4 linked regions of the Rattus norvegicus genome follow. The protein of the gene in region 1 purifies or fractionates together with the protein of each later gene. This does not show direct contact. Links are inferred from orthologs where the notes say so. Each region holds a gene or a part of one and is shown in the gene's direction. Other genes may lie near its edges.

Region 1 (3,500 bases):
ATTTCACCTTACATTCTGGGCAGGTCTAGTGGTAACATATTCTTATCTGTGTGTCTGTCTCTGTCTGTCTGTCCACCTGCCTGCCTATGTTTTAAACTTAGGAACATTGTACACTGTAGCCGTCTTCAGACATACAGAAGGCACCAGATCCCATTACAGATGGCTGTGAGCCACCATGTGGTTGTCCAGAATTGAACTCAGGACCTCTGGAAGAACAACCAGTGTTCCTAACCACTGAGCCATCTCTCCAGCCCTTCTTAGATCTAGAAACATTTCAATTTCTCCCTTGCTTTTGAATGCTGATGTTGCTGGCTATAGGATTCTTTGCCTTTTTTTTTAATTTTTATTTATTTTTTTTCTTTTTCTTTTTTTTCGGAGCTGGGGACCGAACCCAGGGCCTTGCACTTGCTAGGCAAGCGCTCTACCACTGAGCTAAATCCCCAACCCCTTATTTATTTATTTATTTATTTTTATTTAGTACTTTGAACTGATTGGCATTGGCTTCTAGTGTGATAAGAAACCTGCTAATAATCTTAGGGGACTCCGTGGCCTCATCTTTCACTGCCTTCACAAGTCTTTGTCCTTCAGAAGTTTGAAGGTGCTGGGATTGCAGGCGAGCACATTGCCTAACATGCATAGTCACTAGTTTTGATTGGACCGTCTACTTCAGTAACCTATACAGTTGTAATATAATGATGCTTCTTCTGAGAAAATGTAATATGCTTGTTACAGTGTATACAGGTTTTCTCTTTTCATTGAATGTTGCTTTATGTGATTTTTTTTAATAGAACATAGCTTCTCATCTAAGTTTACCTACTATGTTAAGTACAATTTCATTAAATATTTAAATAAATAATTTTGAGTATTACACATAATGCATAGTTACTCCAGAATTGTTTATATATGCATTTCCTTGCAAATTTATTTTATTTTTAATTTCTGTTTAAAATTTTGAGACAGGGCTTGCTATGCAACCAAGACTGGCCTTGAATTTGTTATGTTGCCTCAATCTTCAAGTGATCAGAGAATAAAATTATGAGGTTAAAGCTCTGAGTGTGTGTAACACTGTTGATTTTACCAAAACAGCTGCCAGCTGTCTTCTTAAATGGTTAATCTATTAACATTTTCCACCGTAATGAAAGTGCAAATTTCAGTTTACTTTCTTTTTGCTACATTGAGCTCTGTAATTAAAATATATTTCTCTGCTTCTTAGATTAAAAAATAATAACTTGCTGCATGTCATATCTTTAATTCCACCAGCACTGGCAAGGCAAAGGCAGGAGGATCTCTGTGAGTTTAAGGTCAACCTGGTTGTCATAACAAGTTTCAGACCAGTCAAGGCTGCATAGCGATATGCTATCCCCCTCATCCTCACCTCTTCTCCCCATCCCGAAGAAAGAGAACTTGTCTTTGTTAATAAAACTGTACATGTGCTTTGGTTTTGGCTTGAGATGTTTGTTGGTTGGTTGGTTGGTTTTGTTTTTTAACAAATTACCTTTTTATGTCCTTTCCTCATTTTCTATTTGGCTCATCCTACTAGTCAGTAATGCTGTTCTAATATTTTAGCATCCTACTTTTCTTTAAACAATTGGCTTTATTTATTGAAGATTTTTAAACAACGACAACAAAAGCCCTTTTAAAATATGTTTATTCTATAAACCAGGAGCCTTTTGTGGCCGATGAATACATTGAACGTCTCGTGTGGAGAACCCCGGGAGGTGGTTCTAGGGGTGGACCTGAAGCTTTTGATCCTAAAAGGTAAACTTAACAAAACAAAACAAAACAAAACAAAACAGTCTCCATATAGTACTACGAATTGTGTTTAGAGTAGAGATGACTGTATTGGAATTCTTTTGAGTATTCATATAAAATAATTTTAATTAATAGTTTGTTTCCCACCTCAAAAATTTCTTGAGCTGGAGAAATGGCTCAGTGGTTAAGAGCACTGGCTGCTCTTCCAGAGGTCCTGAGTTCAATTCCCAGCAACCACGTGGTGGCTCACAACCATCTGTAATGGGATCTGATGCCCTCTTCTGGTGTGTCTGAAGACAGCGACAGTGTACTCATATATAATAAATAAATAAATAAATCTTTTAAATAAAGTTTCTTAACAGCATTAGAAGTCTGAAATAGTGTTTTTCCTTAGCTGATTGGGTAAAAGGATTTTATCCTTTATTAAGAATTTAATTTTTCCACTTAGCATTAAATTAGAAAAGGCTGGTTATACTTGTGGGTATGGTATTGACCACCTGCGATCTAAGTACTCTAGAGGCTGAGGCTGGGTTGTGAGTTGGAGGTTAGCCTAGAATACATAGCAAAACCCTGATCCTGAATAAGCAAATTAATAATAAGAAAAAGTTGACTATGTTCTTTTAAATTTAATAGCTGTAAATCAGGGAAACAGTCAATAAAGTCTATAATGTATACAATTTTTGTTGTACGTTTGTCTTCTTGAATTTTAAATAAAGTAGAGCTTGTTTGGATATTTAATGGGGATTTGTTCAGGTTTTTATTTACCTTAGAGATAATCCGTTGCAAAGTCAATAACAACTGGCTGTTTTTCCTAATGCTATGTATTGTTAAAGTCACGTGACCTGTTCTAAGTGGAAAGAAAGCTATGACATTAAATAAATTGCAACAAGATGCTGTAAAGAAAGTGAATACACTTGTCCCTGTCTCAGAGGACCCTTACTAAAACCTTCATAAAACTGGTCTGTTCCTTATGGCTAATAATAGGCAAATTGATTGTACTATTACTTTCCTCTGTTAGGTTATTAGAAGAATTTGTGAATCATATTCAAGAACTACAGATAATGGATGAAAGGATTCAAAGGAAAGTAGAGAAGTTAGAACAGCAGTGTCAGAAGGAGGCAAAGGAGTTTGCTAAGAAGGTACAAGAGCTGCAGAAAAGCAACCAGGTACACTTAGCTCAGAAATGAGCGGCTATGAACTGTAACATCTTCATTCTCTTACACACAGTTTCTTCAACCCTTTTACCTTAGGTCTTTGAAGAGCCAAGTCAAATTGTATTAACGTCTAACTTTGTTCCTGTGGAATAAGATATTAATGTTTGTTTGTGACTGCCTAGCATTGTCGTTGGTGTGCTACTAGATGGGTTCTAACCCAGTGCTGCCCTGTTCAGGTTAGGGCGGTAGATGCTTAGAAGTGACCCTTGCTTCCCACCTCTTAATTGAGTAAGCTTTCACAAGACTGACTAGTCCCTAGCCCTGCATTTTGAGAACTACCTTACTAGTATGGATATTTAAGGAGTCATTTTAATATAATTTAATCATAAATAAGACCAACCTGGAACAAGTTATTCCCGAGAGCAGTAGTTCTTAACCTTCCTAATGCTGGGACCTTTTAAGACTGTTTCTCATGGTGTGCTCACCTCCAACCATTAAATTGTTTCGTTGCTACTTCATTGCTGTAATGTTGCTATTGTTAAGACTCATAGTGTAAATATTTGATATTTAGGATATCTGATACATGATCCCCCC
Region 2 (4,020 bases), on another chromosome or scaffold:
GGGAGGAGGAAGAGGAAAAGGAGGAGGAGGAGAAGGAGAGGAGGAGGAGGAGAAGGAGGAGGAGAAGGAAGAGGAGGAGAGGAGGAGGAAGAGGAGGGGAGGGGAGGAAGAGGAGGAGGAAGAGGAGGAGGAAGAGGAGGAGGAAGAGGAAGAGGAGGAGGAAGAGAAGGAGAGGAGGAGGAAGAGGAGGAGAGGAGGAGGAGGAGGAGGAGGAGGAGGAGGAGATGATCATCCTGGTAGAGTATGTTATCCTGCCTTCGCAATCACCTTTTCTAGTTCTACCTCATTATGAACTCATTCAGTATAGAATTAAAGCTTGAATGGCCTTTGTACCTGGAAATCAAAGTTCCCAGCACTCAATCCCTGCCAGGGATGTGGCCTAAATGAATCACTTGTCTTATAGCTCACAATCTTGGCATCATTCATGCCTCTCACACTGAAACAAGTATCACCTTTAAAACAAAGATTCTGTTTCAGTATCTGATGTGAGCCGGCGGGTGCAGTTTCTAAAAAGCACCCAGGAAGGTCTGCGCAGTCCGCCCGGTAGAGTATGAAGTGCGTAAGTGACATGGTTCTAGACCTAAACACGTTATGGGAATTAAGTGGGGAGAAATTAAGGATACTAGTGATGTCTAGGTTCCTCTCCCAGAGATTCTGACTTAACTCATTGAAGTGCTCCGAAGAATCTAGAGTTAACAGGATTTTACATATGCAAAGGAGAAAACATTTAATGAGCTCTCAAATGATTTGCCACAAATATCAGAATGGGTACATCTAGAAAAAGAAAATACCACCATTATCAACTCCTCTAATCAGTGGTTATCTATGCTAGTGGTTCTCAACTTTCCTAATGCTGCAACCCTTTAATACATTTCCTCATGCTGCAGTGGGTCCCAACCATTAAACTATTTCATTTCTATTTTATAACTGTAATTTTGCTGCTGTTATCAATTGTAATGTAAATATCTGATATATGGGATATCTGATATGTGACCCCTATGAAGGGATCATTTGACCGCGAAAGACCCACAGGTTGAGAACCACCAGTCTACGAGCTTGCGGGTTCGGTCCTTGCCTTTTCCACGCCCACTGTCTGGCCCGGTCCCACCCATCAAGGCAACGTTCGACCTCCTCCAAGTCCATTGGTCAATCTGTTCCCTTCCATTGTCTCCGTTTCCGGCTCCACAAGATCAACTTCCGGTACAGAGCGGCACGTGACCGGATACGGGAAGTGGCGGCTTCTGGCCGCTTCTTTTCCCAGCTCAATGAAAAGCGTTTCATAGCTGCTCTTGCTGCCGGCGCCCTTGTAGAGTCCGTCTTGGAGCACCAACCTCGGCCGGCCGGCCTCGCGGTAAGCTTCCGGCCGGGGACCGGCGGTCCTGGAGGTGGTAGCCTAAGTGGAGGCAGTGTTCAATCTGCGTCAGGTCGGCCACTCCCAAGTGACACGGCCCACCCACCCTGCTGCCCTCCAGGGCTGCAGAACCGCTGCTGCAGAGCCCGGACTGAGTCCTTACTTCTTCCTGTCCTGGGCTCTGGGAGAAGACGGAGCCCGGAGGCAGCCTAGGGTCAGTCCTCAGTTCCGCCCATCCGGGACAGATTTCATTTTTGCCAAATTAGCGTGGTTTGGGAGAGGAGAACGTGACCTGGCTTCTGCCGGTCCAAATCAACAAATATGTCCTTATAAATCTTAAAAGGGCGTTGCCCAGCCTCTGAGCAGTTTTCGTTTTTTGGATGACAAGTCTTGAGATGTCACTGCAGTAGATGGGCCCAACCCACTAAGGCACTTGCACTGACACACAGTGTAATGATGGCCCTATCAAGGTGCAGGAAGTAAGATACGCGATGAACAGAGGTTAGCTGCCTCTGTAACGGGCAGCCTTGAGGTTTTAGAAGGCGAAGAACTAAAGAGAACCCAGAATATGGGCGTGGGTTTTAGACTTGGTAAATAGTTGTGAAGGCCACTATTAATAATACTGGCATAATATAAAGTTCTGTATAAACATTGGAGAATTCATCACTAACCCCAAAGAAGACTGACTGTTACAATTCTACATCATCCCATTCATGTCTTTCAGATTCTCCACTATACCCCCAGAGTGCTACCTGGCACTTAGTGAATAGTAATATTTGTTGAATTACGTCTAATTTCTTTTATGAGTTATAACCAGTCCTCTGCTGTTTGGCTGTTTACCATGCACGGAGTCTTTAGTATGGTGAATATTGGCCTGAGTTAATTGTTCTGTTTACCAGTTTTTACTGTTTCAATAAAACAGGTTACACCAAGAGGTTGTAGTAAGTACCCAACACACAAACCTGTGTTAGAGCACCCTCCCTCCTCCTCTTCCTCCTCCTCCTCCTCCTCCTCCTCCTCTTCCTCCTCTTCCTCCTCTTCCTCCTCCTCTTCCTCTTCTTCCTCTTCCTCCTCCTCCTCCTCTTCTTCCTCCTCCTCTTCTTCCTCCTCCTCCTCCCAAGAGATGACTGTGGAGACCTAGGAGATGATACTCATGTCCCCATTAGATAGCAAGCACTTGTCTCGTAAATACAGTAAGTGCTCTAGACATTTGCATGGGAAGAGCAATGAGGATTAAGACTTTTACTGAGTCAGCTTCATCCAAATGGAGAAATGTACGTTTGAATAGGGAAAAGATAATCTGGCCTGCATGGGAAAGTGCTTAACCAAAGATTTCAAGTCAGAAACAACACAGTGCTTTGAATGCAAGGCATGGCTTGAGAACAGTGGTATAATGAGGACTGGTTTAAAGTTATTTACTAGTTTTTCAGGGAACTTGTAGAAACTTTAAAAAAAGAAAAAGGTAACAGGTGCTATTACTTAAAGGCAGTAAATCTTGGTTGCTTGGTAGCCAGATGGGGGAAAAGTAAATTATATGTAGATGGAGAAGTCACTGCGTACGCTAACAGATTTCACGTTGGCATGGAGGAAGCAATGAACTAGGGCAGAGTTTGAGTCTGGGTTGTTTTCTTATAGATTCAAAAGTTGGAAAGAGGTAACTTGGAGGGAACTATCCCTGGTCTGTTGTTGAGTGCAACAGTATTTCCCTAAATGTTTACTAAGCACTCGCTGTGTGCCTCGTGGCAAATGCTAGGAATATAAAGATGGATAAGATGAGATCCTTGCCGAGAGAGAACTGCTTTTAGTAGGGTCTAGAGTGCACTAGCTAGAAAACACTGGTTGGAGAGCTGCTGCCAGTAGAGGTAAGCTGGGGAACAGAAGAGGAGGAAGGCTTCAAAGAAGATGCAGTGTGTTATCAGAATGGTTGAGGGTGAGTTGGAATTTGCAGTGACAAGAATTTCAGAATGAGGAAAATAGTGAACAAAGCCCAGAGACAGTACAGTAAACTGCAGTGTCCACTTGAGTTTGAGGATAGGATAGAGTATCGCTTTAATGTCACACCTGGGCCCTAGGGCACATTAAGGGGTGTGCCACAAGCTAGAGTCATCTGAAAGAAGGAAACCGCCATTGAGAAAATGCCCCCGTAAGATCCAGCTGAAGGGCATTTTTTAAATCCGTGGTTGACGGGGGCTGGATCATAACAGCAGTTGCATGCCTGACTTGCAGAAGGGACTGCAGGACTGTTCTAAAGCCTCCCTGCCATTTGTGATCCTCCCAGCTGGGTGGGGGAGGCCCCTTCCTCATTGCTTACTGCTGTGTGTCCTGTGGGTTTTTAGCCTTCCCAGCAGTTGAAAGTAGGATTCTTGCCGCAGATGTCAGTCGTATTTCCCAAGTGGTTGATGGTATGAAACCTTTTGGGTTTCTGGTGTGCATCTTTGCAATAGGCAAAGGGCGGCTGCACATGTTTTTCCTTAGCACCATCCACGCCCCCTTTTCTTGTGCGTGGTCTCTCACCAGATTGGCGCTCCAACCATAGGTGAAGTTGTCTGCTCAGTGCACTCCAGGGATCTGCTTGTCTCTGCCTCCCCAGCATGAGGTTGCAGGCAGGCTTCCCCATGCACTGCTTGTTAAATGAGTTCTGGAAACTAACAAGATTGGACTTGTGTCCT
Region 3 (4,024 bases), on another chromosome or scaffold:
AGAGCCACCATTCTGGCTTTGCTGGCAGGGTAGCCTTACCTGATAAACGTCAAGTCACTGAGACCTGAAGAGTTTTGTTTCACTGTGAAAGGCTATGCGACTGCCAGAGATTTCTTACCAAATTTCCTTAGGACCTCTGCTGCCAAGCCTCTCCCTCATGTATGGAGTGTTCCCTTGCTCTTCAGAAGGGATGGTTCTGGAAACATTTTGACATATCTTCTCACAAATAGGAGAGCAAAATGAAGCCATATGATATCTCTTAATTCGTAGTACCTGAACAGCACCCTCCTCAGTGTATGCACTGAGTGAATGCATAACGCTGCACATAAAGATACTTGAGAAAGAAAAGAGAGCTTAGGCCAGTGGCTCTCAGCTTCTCTGGGGGAAATGATCATTTCACAGGGGAAAACAGATATTTACATTGCATTCATAACAGTAGTAAAATTACAGTTATGAAGTAACAACAAAATAATTTTATGGTTGTGGGGTGGGAGGGTCAGCACAATACAGAGCACTGTATGAAAGGGTCTCAGAGTTAGAAAGGTTAGGCTGTTATGGTCTTAGATAATGGGAACCCTGTAGCTATTTCTCTCTACAGTCATGGCAACACAACCACAAGTAGACCCGTGTTCTATGCTTCTGCCACTGTCCTTTGTTGCTTGGACTGCTATGGAGGAAGTCACAGGGGAACTCCTGCTTCTGTTCAGCCGGCCTTCTCTAGAGCCCAGCACACAGGAGGGTACACTCAAAGCTTAGGGCTTTGGGATTGTAGATGGAAGTCATTTCTATAATTTGGGGGTCTTGTGAGTTTGCAAATCAATTTGCCTCTCAGAGCCTTGGAACTCCAAAGCTTTGACCTGTGAGATCCCTTAAGGCGGGGTACTCCTGGCTAGATGCAGTCCTTTGATTGAGGTTTGCCTCAGCCCTGGAGCTGATCCCTGACCCATTGTGAACTCTTTAGCAATATCTACTGTGACCCTAACCACTGTACCTCTTTACCTCTCCCCTCTTTTTCTTCTCCTAATTCCACCCTTTCACTTTCTCCCTCTCTTCCTTTCTGCTTCCCTCCTTTTCTCCCTTTCCCACCAATTCCTCTTCTTCTTTCCACCTCTCTACCTTCCTCTTCCCCTTCCCCTCCTTTTCCCTTTCGTCCCTCCCTCTCCACTTTCATCCTGTCTGTCATCTCCATCTAATTTCCCTTCTCCATAGTCTAGTCCTCCCCCCCCCCCCATCCAGGACTCGGCGCTCGGCTAGGCGGCGGATCGACGTGCTCGGCGCTCGCGGCGTGCGGAAGTGCGGCCCTACGGCAGACTGCTGCGGCCCGGAGCGGGTTGGCCCGGACCTGACGCCGCCTGCAAGCTGCAGGTAAGTGTAGCGTCCGGGGCCCGGAGTGGAACCGCAGGGCACCGAACCGTCGGGGCTGAGCGACCTGGGACGGCGCCGTGAGGGACCCGGGCGCGTTTGGGAGCTGCGGGCCGAGTCTTCCCACCCGCCTCCGCGCTGGCCTCCGGGCTGGACCCGGGAGGAGCGGCAGATATGGAGGGTTGGTTTTTAATCCGCGTAACCCCCCCATACTAACGCGGATGGGAAGCTTGAGTGGTTTCTTTACTACTCTGGGAGTAGCAAGTGCGTGTTCAGCCACACCTTCATTAGACCATTTGGATGCCTTATACTAAAAAAAACAAAACAAAAAACAAAACAAAACAAAACAAAAAACCAAAAAACTAATGGCTACTGGTTATCTCCCTACTAATGCATAGTAAGACTTTGTTTATAAAGCTTAGCATGTGATGGCCCAGGCTTGGTAACAGATTCCGCCAGTGGCAGTCAAAACTGACAGTCAAAACAAGAAGATCTAAATGTGAAAAATTTGTGATTCGAAAGACGCTGATGCGAGCTTGCTTCTTACATCTTCTCTTTTGTTTGACTCAGTAAAAGTATTTTTAAGCAAGGGAACAGATTGTTTACTCCGTTTGTTGGAAAGAATTTTTGGGGACATTGAAAAGTGGTCTTTTTTTTCCCTTGTCAATTATTTAATTTACTGTTCCAGACGTTTTGAACTATTAGCCTCCAAAGGTGACACCTCGAAGGTTACATTCAAAACATTTGTAAAGGCTGTACGGGGCTTTTTCAACTCTTGCCACTTAAAACTTATAAAGAATATTCATGACTTTATAAAATAGGTAGGCAATGTAGCCATTCACTAACCGTAAATCACAAAGCATTTTATTTTTGTATACATGTAAACATCATTTTTTAAAGATGAAAGCGTAGAGTTGGATAACTCAATTCTCTTTACATAAAGAGTTAAGTCTTGGTTTAATATTTGTAACCACAGGACACTGAGCATCTTCAATGCTTTTCAGAACTGATTATTTTAATTTTCTAATCATCAGTACTGGGAACATTGCTCCATATAAATACATAGTACAAAATGGTAGGAGTGCAGTTAGGAACATTTTGGAAATTGTTGCAAATTTGTCCTTACTCCCAAGCAAAACTCATTGATGATCTTTCTAGAACTTCAAATCAGCAACTCTAAACAGCAGTTCTTCAAATTAAAATCCTGACACAACACGAGTCAAAGACCCATTTATCTGATGATTGCATGCTGAGGAAGGCCAGGTAGGGAAATGTATATAGTCTTTGCTTTCTGTAATCAAACCATTCTTCTTCTTTAAGAACAGAACACTTTGTATATATATATAGTGTGTGTTCGTTTTCCATTGGTGTAACCAAGTTCCTGCCAAGCAGCATAAGGGAAGAAGGGCTTAGTCTGGTTTATAGATTGGAGTTATATCACCCATGCTGGTGAGGCAGCTCCATGGTGGCAGGACTGTGCCCTGGGACACCTCAGGAACTGGAAGCAGGTAGAAGTCAGGCTGTAGGGCTGGGCTCAAAAACCTCAAGTCCCCACCCCCTGGCGACTCACTTTCACAACAAGGCTCTTCATCCTAAAGCTTTCAAAACTACCTAAAACAGTGTTAGGAGGTTTGGAGCCTATAGGAGATATTTTCTGTTCAACTAGTAACATACAGTGAAAACGACTGCTATTTGTAACATAAAGTGATTTGACTCTGAATTGTATGTTTGTATGTTTGGTTTTAATACTCTCGTGACATGGCACCGTGGACAGGGAGAGAGAGAGTTCAGAACCAATGCTGTGATAAAGTTGGATTGAGTACTCCTAGTAACACTTTTGATTCACTATATGTTTGATTTTTAAATTCATTTTTGACCCCATGTGTTCAGAAGACTTAACTTTTTTTTTCTCCCCCTCTACCTCCACATTCCGTTACCTATATTCAGTATAACCTACAGGATTGCCACCCACAGTTTAAGAATCTGCATTCTGGTAAAAGACTTGGTGTTGAATAGAATCTCTAAGTGTATAGCAACAGCAGGATCTTACCACGTAGGAAACGCTAGGGATAAACTTGTCTCTTAGTTAACCTTTTCACACACTTTCTGGTCTCACTCTGCTCAGGTGCTCAGCTTGGCTGAAGTGATCCTCGTGGCACAGTTTCCTCAGTGCTAAGACACACACCACTATCTATGCCCGGCTTTTCTGTACTCACCTTTATCAGGCCCCGGCTCCTAGTAGCGCCTACTGCATAGTACACAGATTATGTTTTTAGTGTTTATCTAGTAGATGAGTTTTAGGCTTACATTAAAGTAGGTGATTTTGAGGTTGATCGGGTGGGAAATAACTTTGGTTACTAAGTGGTACGAGGAAGCATTGAGTGATGAACTCTGGGGCGTGTAGGTGTGTACCCCCACGACTCCCTGTAGAACTCGATTGGTAGTGACTATTCACAATGATCAGCATAAGCGTAATCTGGGCTGCCTCTGAGTGGCAGTGAGGGAGCATGGGTAAATGCTCTCTGGTTATTTGAGAGCCTTCGGTCAAGCATGGCATTTGGAACCAACTTGTTTGACAGCTGCCTTCCCCTAATAACACTTGGTCATCAAAAAAGCTTCTTGAATATTCTTTTTTTTTGTTCCGGAGCTGAGGACCGAACCC
Region 4 (3,939 bases), on another chromosome or scaffold:
AAAAAACAAACCCTCGCCTGGCATGGTGGCGCAGGCCTTTCATCCTAGTCCGTGGGAGGCAGATGCAGGAGGATCTCCCAGTTCCGGGCCAGCCTGGTCTACAGAGTGAATTCCAGGGCAGCCACAGATACATAGTGAGACCCTGTCTCCAAAAAAAAAAAAAAAAAAAAAAGAGCCAGCAAATCCTTATCCTTGGGCAGTTCAACGAAAGTCCCTGATAGAGGGCTTTTTAATAACACTTGATCACCCTCACACCCTCACCCACTGTTATCCTCTCTGCTCCGCACCGGGACTTGTCACGGGGCCGATGTGAAGTTAGAAGTACGCTACGTCTCAGCCTGCTTCAGCTCAGGCTGCTATGTGACGGTGTATATGCAGGGCAGATTATTATCTAGAACAGGATTTCTCAAACTCAGTGGGTAGATGAGGGATCCTGCTGGTACATCTCTGAGAGCCGTTGGGCCACGAGGAGGGGACACACCAACGACAACTCAGCGCCCTTGCCCTTCCCTACGTTCCGAGCCGTTCGTGGGCGCACTCACAGTGTCATGCGCACACTCCACTTCACCTCCACGGCCTCCAGCTGACCCCAGAAGAAGCGATCGTTAAACTGCAGGAAGAGCGCCTGCAGGTCCGGGGTGGGGTCCACCAGCTCCCAGGACGCGTCCACCAACGATAGGGGCTCCCGCGCCGCCGCGCGCCGCGCCGCCTGCACGTCCCACTCCTCCTGCAGCCGCAGCGCGACCACCAGATCCTCGTCCATCCCGATACTCTCACTTCAGCCGCTCCCAAGACGCCGGTCGGGCTCGTGAGGCGTACGGATCTCGCGAGACCTCCCGGCCCCGCTGTCAGGGCGCGCGGGCTCGCCTCGAACGCCTAACCGAAGGTGGCTCGGCTCTGCCCCGCGGACACAGACTTAGGAACGCTGGGCTCGGGGTAGGGACGGCTTCAGGAAGCCAGTTGTCTCCAGACCGCCGCCGAGGTCCAGCGCCTCACGTCAAGTCTGGTCCGTGCCCGACCCTCCTCTGACTTCCGTACTGGCCCGTCCGCGCACGCGCCTTAAGACGCTGCCGTTTCCGCGCAGGCGCGTCGTCGACACTCCGCCCCGGGCGCAGGCGCAGTGTGAGAGTCTCGACTTTGGCACAGGCGCAATGCAGCGCTCGGCCCCGGCGCAGGCGTTTGGGTGTTGCTCCCGCCCCGCTTCCTCTACCGCTTCTCCACCGGGCTCGGGTGGGGCCGGGAGGCGGCGAGTGACAGCCACTGCGGGCCGCGGGAGCAGGGCGGGTGGCAGCCATGTCGGACAGCGGGGCGAGCCGCCTGCGGAGGCAGCTGGAGTCGGGGGGCTTCGAGGCGCGGCTGTACGTGAAGCAACTGTCGCAGCAGTCGGACGGCGACCGCGACCTGCAGGAGCACCGACAGCGGGTGCAGGCGCTGGCGGAGGAGACGGCGCAGAACCTGAAGCGCAACGTCTACCAGAACTACCGGCAGTTCATCGAGACGGCGCGCGAGATCTCCTACCTGGAGAGCGAGATGTACCAGCTGAGCCACCTGCTGACGGAGCAGAAGAGCAGTCTGGAGAGCATCCCGCTGGCACTGCTGCCCGCCGCTGCCGCGGGCGCATCCACGGGTGAGGACACGGCGGGCGCGGGACCGCGGGAGCGCGGGGCGGCCCAGGCGGGCTTTCTTCCGGGGCCGGCCGGAGTCCCTCGCGAGGGCCCCGGGACGGGAGAGGAGGGCAAGCAGCGAACGCTCACCACGCTGCTGGAGAAGGTGGAGGGCTGCAGGGACCTGCTGGAGACACCAGGTCAGTACCTTGTGTACAACGGGGACCTGGTGGAATACGAGGCAGACCATATGGCCCAGCTGCAGCGAGTGCATGGCTTCCTCATGAACGACTGTCTGCTGGTGGCCACTTGGCTACCACAACGGCGAGGCATGTACCGCTACAACGCACTCTACCCACTGGACCGCCTGGCTGTGGTCAACGTCAAAGACAATCCACCTATGAAAGACATGTTCAAGCTGCTCATGTTCCCTGAGAGCCGAATCTTTCAAGCGGAAAATGCCAAGATTAAACGCGAGTGGCTGGAAGTGCTGGAGGAAACCAAGAGGGCGCTCAGCGACAAGAGGAGACGGGAGCAGGAGGAGGCAGCCGCCTTGCGTGCGCCACCACCGGTCACTTCCAAGGGCAGCAACCCGTTTGAGGATGAGGCCGAGGAGGAACTGGCCACCCCGGAGGCAGAGGAGGAAAAGGTTGACCTTTCCATGGAGTGGATCCAGGAGTTGCCGGAAGACCTGGATGTTTGTATTGCGCAGAGGGACTTTGAGGGTGCCGTGGACTTGCTGGACAAATTAAATCACTATCTTGAAGATAAGCCCAGCCCACCTTCTGTGAAAGAGCTGAGGGCCAAAGTGGATGAACGAGTGCGACAGCTCACCGAGGTGCTTGTGTTTGAGCTCTCCCCGGATCGCTCTCTGAGAGGTGGCCCTAAGGCTACTCGAAGGGCAGTGTCTCAACTGATCCGTCTCGGCCAGTGCACTAAGGCTTGTGAGCTGTTTCTGAGGAACAGGGCGGCAGCTGTGCATACTGCCATCCGCCAGCTTCGAATTGAGGGCGCCACTCTGCTCTATATTCACAAGCTGTGCCATGTCTTCTTTACCAGCCTCCTAGAGACTGCACGGGAGTTTGAGACAGACTTTGCAGGCACGGACAGTGGCTGCTACTCTGCCTTTGTGGTCTGGGCAAGGTCTGCCATGGGCATGTTCGTGGATGCTTTCAGCAAGCAGGTTTTTGACAGCAAGGAGAGCCTGTCCACTGCTGCCGAGTGTGTGAAGGTAGCCAAGGAGCACTGCCAGCAGCTGGGAGAGATTGGGCTGGATCTCACCTTCATCATCCATGCCCTCCTGGTGAAGGACATCCAGGGGGCCTTGCTCAGTTACAAGGAGATTATCATTGAAGCCACCAAGCACCGAAACTCGGAGGAGATGTGGCGTCGGATGAACCTGATGACTCCTGAGGCCCTGGGCAAGCTCAAGGAGGAGATGAGAAGTTGCGGGGTCAGTAACTTTGAGCAGTATACGGGGGATGACTGCTGGGTGAACCTGAGCTACACTGTGGTAGCCTTCACCAAGCAGACCATGGGCTTCCTGGAGGAGGCACTGAAACTGTACTTCCCAGAGCTACACATGGTGCTCCTGGAGAGTCTGGTGGAAGTCATACTGGTTGCTGTGCAGCATGTGGACTACAGCCTGCGCTGTGAGCAGGACCCAGAGAAGAAGACTTTCATCCGGCAGAACGCATCCTTCCTTTACGACACTGTCCTCCCAGTGGTGGAGAGGAGGTTTGAGGAAGGTGTGGGGAAGCCTGCCAAGCAGCTGCAGGACCTTCGGAATGCATCGAGACTCCTGCGGGTGAATCCTGAGAGCACCACGTCTGTGGTCTGAGGCTCTGGTTCGATGCTGTGTGTGCGTCTGTCTGTCTGTCTGTCTGTCTGTCTGTATGTATGTATGTATGTCTGTACACACACATGTACTACAGATGCATTGTTTGTATTCACATTACACAATATCAACACATTCCTCAGACACAAACAGCATATAAAAGTGCCCTCTTAAAAATGCAGTCAAAAGAAGAAAGATAATGTGTTAAGTGCTCCCTCCCACATAGAGGGATTATTAGAGCACATACTGTGCTTTTTTTTTTTTTTAAACTCTTTAAGGAGTGTATGGTCACAGCAGCATTTCAGGTCACTCTTTAACCTGAAACACACTTGTCACAGTAGCACATCCTGGAACATTGCACTTCTGTGCTGCCTAGAAAAATATGCAAGTCCACAGGGTTTAAGTTGTGAAGCATTCCAGTTCAACAAAATGGCTTCTGAACGGTCATTGCTGTGTAGCGCCCCTGTGTCATGTACTCAAGAAGCAAGCCAAATTGGG

What was found.
Region 2: the proteins of Exoc5 (region 1) and Exoc1 purify together in Homo sapiens (affinity purification with mass spectrometry; 4 studies listed by BioGRID and IntAct, counting the BioPlex papers as one, with this or other methods). This does not show direct contact. The link is inferred for Rattus norvegicus from reciprocal best matches to the Homo sapiens genes EXOC5 and EXOC1.
Region 3: the proteins of Exoc5 (region 1) and Exoc2 fractionate together in Homo sapiens (co-fractionation; 4 studies listed by BioGRID and IntAct, with this or other methods). This does not show direct contact. The link is inferred for Rattus norvegicus from reciprocal best matches to the Homo sapiens genes EXOC5 and EXOC2.
Region 4: the proteins of Exoc5 (region 1) and Exoc8 purify together in Homo sapiens (affinity purification with mass spectrometry; 5 studies listed by BioGRID and IntAct, counting the BioPlex papers as one, with this or other methods). This does not show direct contact. The link is inferred for Rattus norvegicus from reciprocal best matches to the Homo sapiens genes EXOC5 and EXOC8.

What each region holds. Positions count from the first base shown.
Region 1 is NC_086033.1:24,821,442-24,824,941, reverse strand, and holds part of Exoc5 (exocyst complex component 5), read left to right. Parts: intron 1-1,663; coding exon 1,664-1,758; intron 1,759-2,770; coding exon 2,771-2,918; intron 2,919-3,500. UniProt on the Homo sapiens protein: Component of the exocyst complex involved in the docking of exocytic vesicles with fusion sites on the plasma membrane.
Region 2 is NC_086032.1:32,011,328-32,015,347, reverse strand, and holds the start of Exoc1 (exocyst complex component 1), read left to right. Parts: upstream 1-1,220; 5' UTR 1,221-1,351; exon of another isoform or gene 1,352-1,565; intron 1,566-4,020.
Region 3 is NC_086035.1:33,713,732-33,717,755, forward strand, and holds the start of Exoc2 (exocyst complex component 2), read left to right. Parts: upstream 1-1,224; 5' UTR 1,225-1,365; intron 1,366-4,024. UniProt on the Homo sapiens protein: Component of the exocyst complex involved in the docking of exocytic vesicles with fusion sites on the plasma membrane.
Region 4 is NC_086037.1:69,752,077-69,756,015, reverse strand, and holds Exoc8 (exocyst complex component 8), read left to right. Parts: upstream 1-1,139; 5' UTR 1,140-1,293; coding exon 1,294-3,444; 3' UTR 3,445-3,629; downstream 3,630-3,939. Other genes in the region: DNA-dependent metalloprotease SPRTN, read right to left, coding at 543-763. UniProt on the Homo sapiens protein: Component of the exocyst complex involved in the docking of exocytic vesicles with fusion sites on the plasma membrane.